Linked DNA regions of Schizosaccharomyces pombe. Changing the gene in region 1 together with any one later gene gives a genetic interaction. Each region holds a gene or a part of one and is shown on either strand. Other genes may lie near its edges.

What was found. Genes that interact genetically often act in the same process or in processes that back each other up.
Region 2: mutations in rng2 (region 1) and cdc12 are lethal when combined (synthetic lethality), as found in Schizosaccharomyces pombe (4 studies listed by BioGRID, with this or other methods).

Annotation. Positions count from the first base shown.
Region 1 is NC_003424.3:2,643,521-2,647,277, reverse strand, and holds the start of rng2 (IQ motif containing GTPase activating protein), read right to left. Parts: upstream 1,851-3,757; 5' UTR 1,762-1,850; coding exon 1-1,761. Other genes in the region: hcs1 (3-hydroxy-3-methylglutaryl-CoA synthase), read right to left, coding at 2,135-3,418, 3,595-3,654. UniProt on the Schizosaccharomyces pombe protein: Component of the contractile F-actin ring; required for its construction following assembly of F-actin at the division site.
Region 2 is NC_003424.3:281,239-284,995, reverse strand, and holds the start of cdc12 (cytokinetic formin Cdc12), read right to left. Parts: upstream 1,653-3,757; 5' UTR 1,521-1,652; coding exon 1-1,520. Other genes in the region: exocytic docking protein Mso1, read right to left, coding at 2,592-3,047. UniProt on the Schizosaccharomyces pombe protein: Plays a role in the cell cycle. Involved in cytokinesis. Component of the cell division ring. In the absence of profilin, caps the barbed end of actin filaments, thus preventing subunit addition and dissociation.

The DNA of each region.
Region 1 (3,757 bases):
GCTTTCCAAGTTTTTTCTTAAAAGAAAAGCCCGAACAATTGCCTGTAGAGCAATGAAAGAGGATGTTGATGCTTTTAATTTCTCCAATTTCTCTTTAAATGCCCGACGAATCATAAATCCTCGAGATAAATTTTGTAGTTTAATAAAATTATCCAGTTCTCCCAGAAGTGATCCATTTAATCTGTTTATAGAATCCCTTATCAAGCGTCCTTTGCAAATAGAGTGAAAAGAAACGGGAAACGATTGTACGGAATCTAGAAAGTTAGACCATTCATTCCGAAACATATTTGCACGCAGTATACTTTGCATCCGGTTAAAGAGAGGGATATAGTTGTAAAGGTTGTCAAGCATATTAACTATTGCATGACGGGTAAGAAATCCTAAAGCTGAGGATTGAATTAACACAAATGATGGTGTAAATAAGTCTAGCCTCTCTATTAACGAGTGGTATTTACGACGATAGAAACCCCCACGAATAATGCTTTGTAACGTTTGGATTGACTTCGTTGCCTCCTCCTGTAAAACCACTTTACGGTATTGTGCACGTATCAGATATGCACGAGAGATGGATTGAATAGAAGTAACCCAGTTTACAAGTTCATCGTATGCTTTCTTTCGTATTCTGTATGTATTTCTAGATATATATCCACGAATTACGGCTTGCAGAAGTACGACAGAAGAACTTTGTTCCACGAGGGATTGTAACATATCCACCAAACGCAAGCGCACAAGTACGCCACGACCACAAGCTTGAATCGCGTTCACGATTTTCTCATCGACAGGGCTACGCTGACTAAGTCCAGAAGTGGTAGAAAATAGTGCCTCCCGTCTTCTTGTGGGTGCTGAAAATGTTGTGAGGAAAGATCGTTGCATATGTCCCTTTTGAGAAGGGGGTTGAAAAAAAGAGTCTTCGAATTCGATTGAATGACTAGGCAAAGTTTGTTTATATGGTTCATTAAATTGTTCTAACGAAGGTGTCGCTGATTTCGTCCTTCTGTGCATCTTAAGGATGTCTGAACGAGCGCTAGCATCTTTCTTCGAAAATTCTAAAGTAGGAGAAGTATAAGGAGACGAATATATAGATGCAGAATCTGATGAATTTAGGGTTTGGAAACGAGCATGCTTGGGAAATCGTGTAGGGGAAGGAGTGCGAGAAGAAACAGGACTAGCACGAAGCATAAAATCGGCACTTAAAGCTTTGAAGTTAGGAAGGATTACATTAGATTGTCGGAGTCTACGGACTATTATTGAAACGTCTTCATCAGTAAAAGATAGATTTTCATCACTCTTGATTAAAGGGGGTGCCAAGTCCTGCATAGAAAGGAAATAAGAAAGGGCATGAATACAATAGATAACTTTGGGTAAATTTTTCCCTTCGTAAATGTCAGTCAGTTCGAAATGAAAAATTTCGGGAAGCCCAATGCCATGGATAAAGTCAAGAAACTTATTAATGTTATCTGAATGGCGAAACTGGAGTTCATTAGAATAGAATATCTTGATTAGTTTATCGGGTTGAAATTTCTGAACCAAGAGAGCCAAGACAACTCCGTTTCGCAGCGACTGCTCAAATGTAGACGTTGGTCCTAGATCTGTGCCGAGGCATTCTTCTATCCATTTTTTTGCTTCATCAACCCTACACAAATAATCATATGCTTGAAGGGTTTCTCTTTGTTTGGCTGCTAAACGAGTGTTCGACCCTTTCGTGCCAACAGGTGCCCCAGCTTGAGATTGAAGTCTAGATAATCCCACATTTACGTCCATTGAGACTTCTGATGACTACCTACTCAGCATTCGATCTCAAACTAGATAAAGTAACTGCACACAATTTTTCGGCTATGTTAGTGGAGAGTAGCTGTTACTCAGACAAAGAAAATGTGGGTTATCAAGATGAGTGGGGGGTTTTTAGGTGTAAGTAGTTTAATTCAAGATACTGTCCGTTAGTGACGAATTTACTCTAATTATTTAGGTTATGCTATTACAAATGAAGGTTATTCATTTTAAGACTACAATACGTATGAGTTTTAAATAATTAACAAAAAAGTTGTCAAAATCACATATTCATGTATCAAAAAAAAGTCTACTAAAAGAGATTTTAACAGTATCTAGTTTGCATTCTAATCTTTTTTTCGGTGATTTAAGGCTTCACCGAATAGCTACGGCGGAACATGTCATCAATACCAGTAAGGTAGTAAGTACCTGAACGAAGACGTTCGATGCTTCCTTTGGGAGTAAAATTCTTTTTCAAGTGTGCTTGATGGCGTAGCTCAATAGCCTCTTCATACTGCGTAGGGGTTAAACAATGACGATTATCCAAATCGTTAACCAAGTTAGTTTTCTTGGCAATTTCAGAGACGTCGCCTTTGACAACGAATGAAAAAAACGAGGCAGCCAAACCAGAACCATAAGAGTAAGCACCGACGCGTTTTCCTTTAAGTTCATCAGCGGGGACACGGCTAAGTAATGCAGTTAAACAAGAGAAAATACTGGCAGTGTACATATTACCACAGTTGGTAGGGGCATAGACACTAGGGGAAACTCGTTTGTTAAAACGCTCTTTAGTTATGGCCATAAGACCTTTTTCTAAAGCCTTGTCGGTAAGGGATTTCTTAGCATCCAGGGTGCTAAGAAGTTCACGGACACCTTCCAACTCGGGATTAGATGGTTCAGCAGCGCTATCGGTGTACAATAAACGCGCATATGCTTTTTGGACTTGTTTGCAAGTAGGAGCGTGGAAAATGCAATAATCAAAACGATCCAATCCAAGTCCTTGACTTTTTCCATTCTTAGCAACATCACGAACATTGTAATTAGCATATGCTCCATCAAGAGCTTTAACATAACATTCAAGAGAAAAATGGCCATCAACGTAAGGGTATTCACTCGTCAAATCGGGTTTGTAAAAATCGTAAGCATGTTGCATGTAAGTACCACGTAGACCAGGTTCAAAAACAATAGGGGCATTAGGACCAACCAAAAGGGCGACACAACCAGCACCACCGGTAGGACGAGCATTGCCCTTGGCATAGAGAGCAATATCACCAGCGACAACTATACCATCACGGCCATCCCAAGCAGAAGACTCAATCCAATCGATTGTGTTAAAAAGAGCGTTCACGCCACCATAACAGGCATTAACACAATCAATACCTTCGACATTGTGGTTATCCCCAAAAAGTTGCATTAAAACACTTTTGACAGACTTAGATTTATCGATGATAGTCTCAGTTCCAACTTCCAAACGACCAATCTTGCTTATATCAATTTGGTATCTCTTGATAAGTTGAGAAAGAGCGGTAAGACCAAAGGAATAAATGTCTTCACGATCGTCGACAAAAGCCATCTTAGTCAAGCCGAGGCCAATAGTATACTTTCCAGTAGAGACTCCATCATGCGCTTCGAGGGCAGCTTGTTCAACATACTATAGGGTAAAAACGATTAATATCAGGTTCTGAAGGAATTTAATGAGAAAGTATTTCTATTACTTTCCTCTGAAGCTTGCGTAAATTTGTACTATTGAAAAAAGATGTAGGTAATGCATGCAAATAATTTGGAGGAGAAGTTTTGAAATAAAGTAGCGACTCATTTATAACATACCTGATTGGGAGTGTACAACACGAGGCCCTTAATACCAATATCTTTTCTATCAAAGGACATTTTCTTGAGTTTCTACAAAGTGTGAGGGTTTTGAAAAAAGATTGCACTAACCTATTTGTGAGGCGACTAAGCGGAAAATTATCGAAGTATCTTGGTTATGGTT
Region 2 (3,757 bases), 2.4 Mb from region 1:
ATATCAAGGTCAAATCCTTGCTCCAATTCTTCGCAAGCAACAATTAGCTGATTGATAAATTCCATAGTGGAAGTACAATACTCAAGAAACGCTATGTTTGAAGGTGAGCTGGAAGCAGAATTTCGAGCAGGAGAAGATGGAGGGGTTCGTGCTAATTCTTTTTCCAAGATTATGTCTTTGAAAGATTTTATCCATCCAAAGAATAGCGGAACCTCCTTTTCATATTCGGCATTTATTTCTTTAAATCCAGTTTCCAATATGGAGACCACAAGAGGTTCCTTTAAAGACAGAACCCATGTCAATAAATCTGCGGCTACTTTCCTCGGAAGCAAATTTGGGGATATAAGGGTCACTGTTATTGCTTGAAATATATAAGAATTGGAAGTAACCAGAGTAGGTTTTTTCTTCAAAAGAGTAAGCATGCAACGAGGAACTTCAGCTTGCTGAGGCTGCACTACGGCAGACGAATTAAAATATGTAAGTAGATTATGCAAAGCTCGAAGTCCCTGCAGTTCAAGAAAAAGAGATATCCATCGATCGGATTGAGTTGATAATAAAGAAGAAAGTGTGATAAGTTGTAAATTACTAATTGTTTTATTCCATAGTTGGATTACGAACCAGGAAACAGGTCTATGGACGGCAGCTAATTCTGGAATTTGGAAAGAAGGATCATCAAACCCGGCGAAGTTAGAACGAATAAAACACCACTTTTCATCTGGAGTACAACTTTGAAGCATTTCAATGGCGTTTTCGTCAAAATCAAATACAGGGTGTCTTAAAAAATCGTTGAATAGATGTATTAGCTGATCCAATGAAGGTGGTCGAGTACTCGGAATTTCAAACTGAAACGAGCATACCGAATTAGGGCTCCCAGCTCGAATTGAACGTAGTCGATAAACTTGTTCATCATTAGTAGAAGTGAATTTTGGGGAAACCTCGTTGGTAATCTCAGGGACTTCAACAACAGGAGCAAGTTTATGCTTAGTTCGCCTTTTTGTCTTAGATACTGGAACTGAGGGAACAGGAGGTTTCGGCAAAGGATCAAAAGAGCGAGAATGTACAGGGGGTGTCACTGGAGCAATTTGGACATCCTCAGAACTTTTAATAATGTTTTTGGGCAACCTAGGACCCTTGAGATGTTTAGAAGTGTGCAAATGTTCAACGGAAGACGAAGATGGTAGATCAGTGACTTCAACTTTATTCGCTTTGGGTCGATGGACAGTAGATTTCTCGGGTGTTTTAGGTAAAGGAAGCTGGGAATTTTGCAAAGCATGTTTATTATGAGAATTGTACTCTTTCGATGAAAAGGTAAATTGCTTTACATACGGAGAAGTAACTGATTGGGACTTATTAGGCTGGATTAACGTCGATACTGATTCTATGGATGATGGAGGTTTATGGTACGTTGTTTTGGACTTAGGAGCCCTTGGCCCAATAGTTCTTCTGGCTGATGGAGTTGGAGTAGACAGAATAGAGTCATAAGAAAAATTAGGGTCCTGTCCCTTTGACGAATTTCGCATCTCTACTTCATAAACGAATGCAGCATTGTAATTGCTTTCAGGATCTTGTTTTCAAGTATTAACAAGGAAACTGTGATGAAAAGTTTTAGCTCAATTAAACCTTTTTTTTAAATTTGCTAAAAGTTGATGTTCAGAACTTGTTGACCTTCAAATTTGGATAAAGTGGAACACTTAGCGAGTAAGGGTTGGGATGGCTTAAATGATCTAAGATAATACGTATACTTGCGAACAAGTAAGTTGAAAGGAAATGAAACTTCGATATATCTAATATTATAATGGTTAAATTGCGTTATAGCGTATTAAATTTTATTTTTAGGATAATCGAAATTCTCGTCTTGTAAGTCTAGTCTGCATTTGGATGCGGTTTCTGGTTGCTTAAAACGTTGTTCAATGAGAAAATACATTCGTGAAGATCATTTTTACTTACAAAGCATTCGTAACATATTTTGTTGTCACGTTGAGCTAAATATAACCAGAAATTTGCAAATAAACGAGAATCACAAGAACGAATCCATTGGTGCTTTTATTTACATACCATATTAAATTACAATAACGAATTTTCACAATTCGTCCCTAAGTGTTCGAGTTAGAAATTAAAGAAACCTATACGATGCGCTGTATGTAACGATAAGTTTTTATAATGTTGAATTGATTTCAGCTACTAGCTTTAATTCTACCAAGCGCTTTTTGAACAGTTTAATTTTTAAAGCTACAATCCGGTTAGAAACATAAAGAACATGTGATGGTTATTTAATTAGACTAAATGATAGTTCTCAAACTAAAGGCGAGTTGCTTAGGATAGTGCACCTTATTGTCAGGTCATTCCAAAAATAATTACTAAAGGAAAAACCAGAAAAGGTGAGCTAACTCAAAGTTGTAAAATAAGTAATTATGCCTCTGTACTGACAAATGTCGAACTTCTGGGTAAGATGGGCTTAGTTATTAACAAACGAGGTTGAGAATAACACATACGTAGTAACAGCATTTTCAAAGAAACAAAAAGTCGTTTTGATCATTAATACGCCATTAACAGATACCAATGAGAGTAAAGTAAAGGTATCGTTGTGTCAACTAAAACTTCTTTCTAGTGTGATCAAATTTTGACCGTAGCAATGAGCCGGAAGGTGTAGAGGAAAGAGGTTTCGTGGTGGAAGGTGATTTTTGAAGACTTCCGACACCTTCAAACAAATCGTCAAAGGTACTATGTTGAACAGAAGGTAATCGTCGTAAAGGGGGAGACGAAGCAGAGGAAGTGGAGGACGATAGCCTCCTAGGATTGGCCGGAATATATGAAGCTTTTAAATTTGAAGGAGCCGCATTACTTGCATTTATGCTAACTGGGGAAGTAGGTCCTGTGTTAACTGGAGGCTGCCATCCAGGAGGACGAAGCCATTCAGGTAATGTCCCAATTTTGTCCATATAGTATTTTCTCATTACACGAGCAACGTGAGTATCTTCAATCGTATTATCGCTTTCAGGGTCGCGAATACGATTAATTTTTGAAGAAATCGATAACTTTGACCACATGATGAATCGAGAGTTCGCGTTTCTTTATGTACTACTTAATCTCTAAATTTTAAAGAACCTTGGCATTTGAATTCAAAAAATTTCAATAAAAGTAATTAATAAAAAAGTTTAGCCATTATTATGATGCCAAGAACGGCTTAATATCTGGCGACGCGGATTTCATAAAGACGCCAACTCGCTAAACTGTCTAAAGTGATTAATAACACGACCATGAACTACATTATATGTTTTAACGAATGTAAAATCAGCACATAAATAGATAATTTTATTGCAAATGTCCAATTGATTAATATCTTACAAATAAAAATAATTTGTGGGTGGATTTAAACATTTAATTTAGATACTCTCGAAGATGATGCATGAAATCGGCTAAAAAAAAGAATGAACGATGAAAAGCTTGGTAAACAAAATCAATACTGAGCAATCTTACTATGTAGTAGCTAATTAAGGTATACATAATTTCTAAATGGACTACGAAAATGTAGTTTTAAAATAGTTAGGTAAGTTTTAATTTTACTACTTGTAGTCTTCCAAAAATCATAAACTAGTATCTACAATAAAAATTTCTTTAAATTAAATATATGTCGGTGAAAAAGAGCCTCGCCCTTAATATGTATTCACTACGAAAACTAAATAAGGATATCGTATATATTAGTTGTTCTGCGTTCACAAAGCTGAGTGCATTTTTGGAGTTGAGCCATCATACTCTC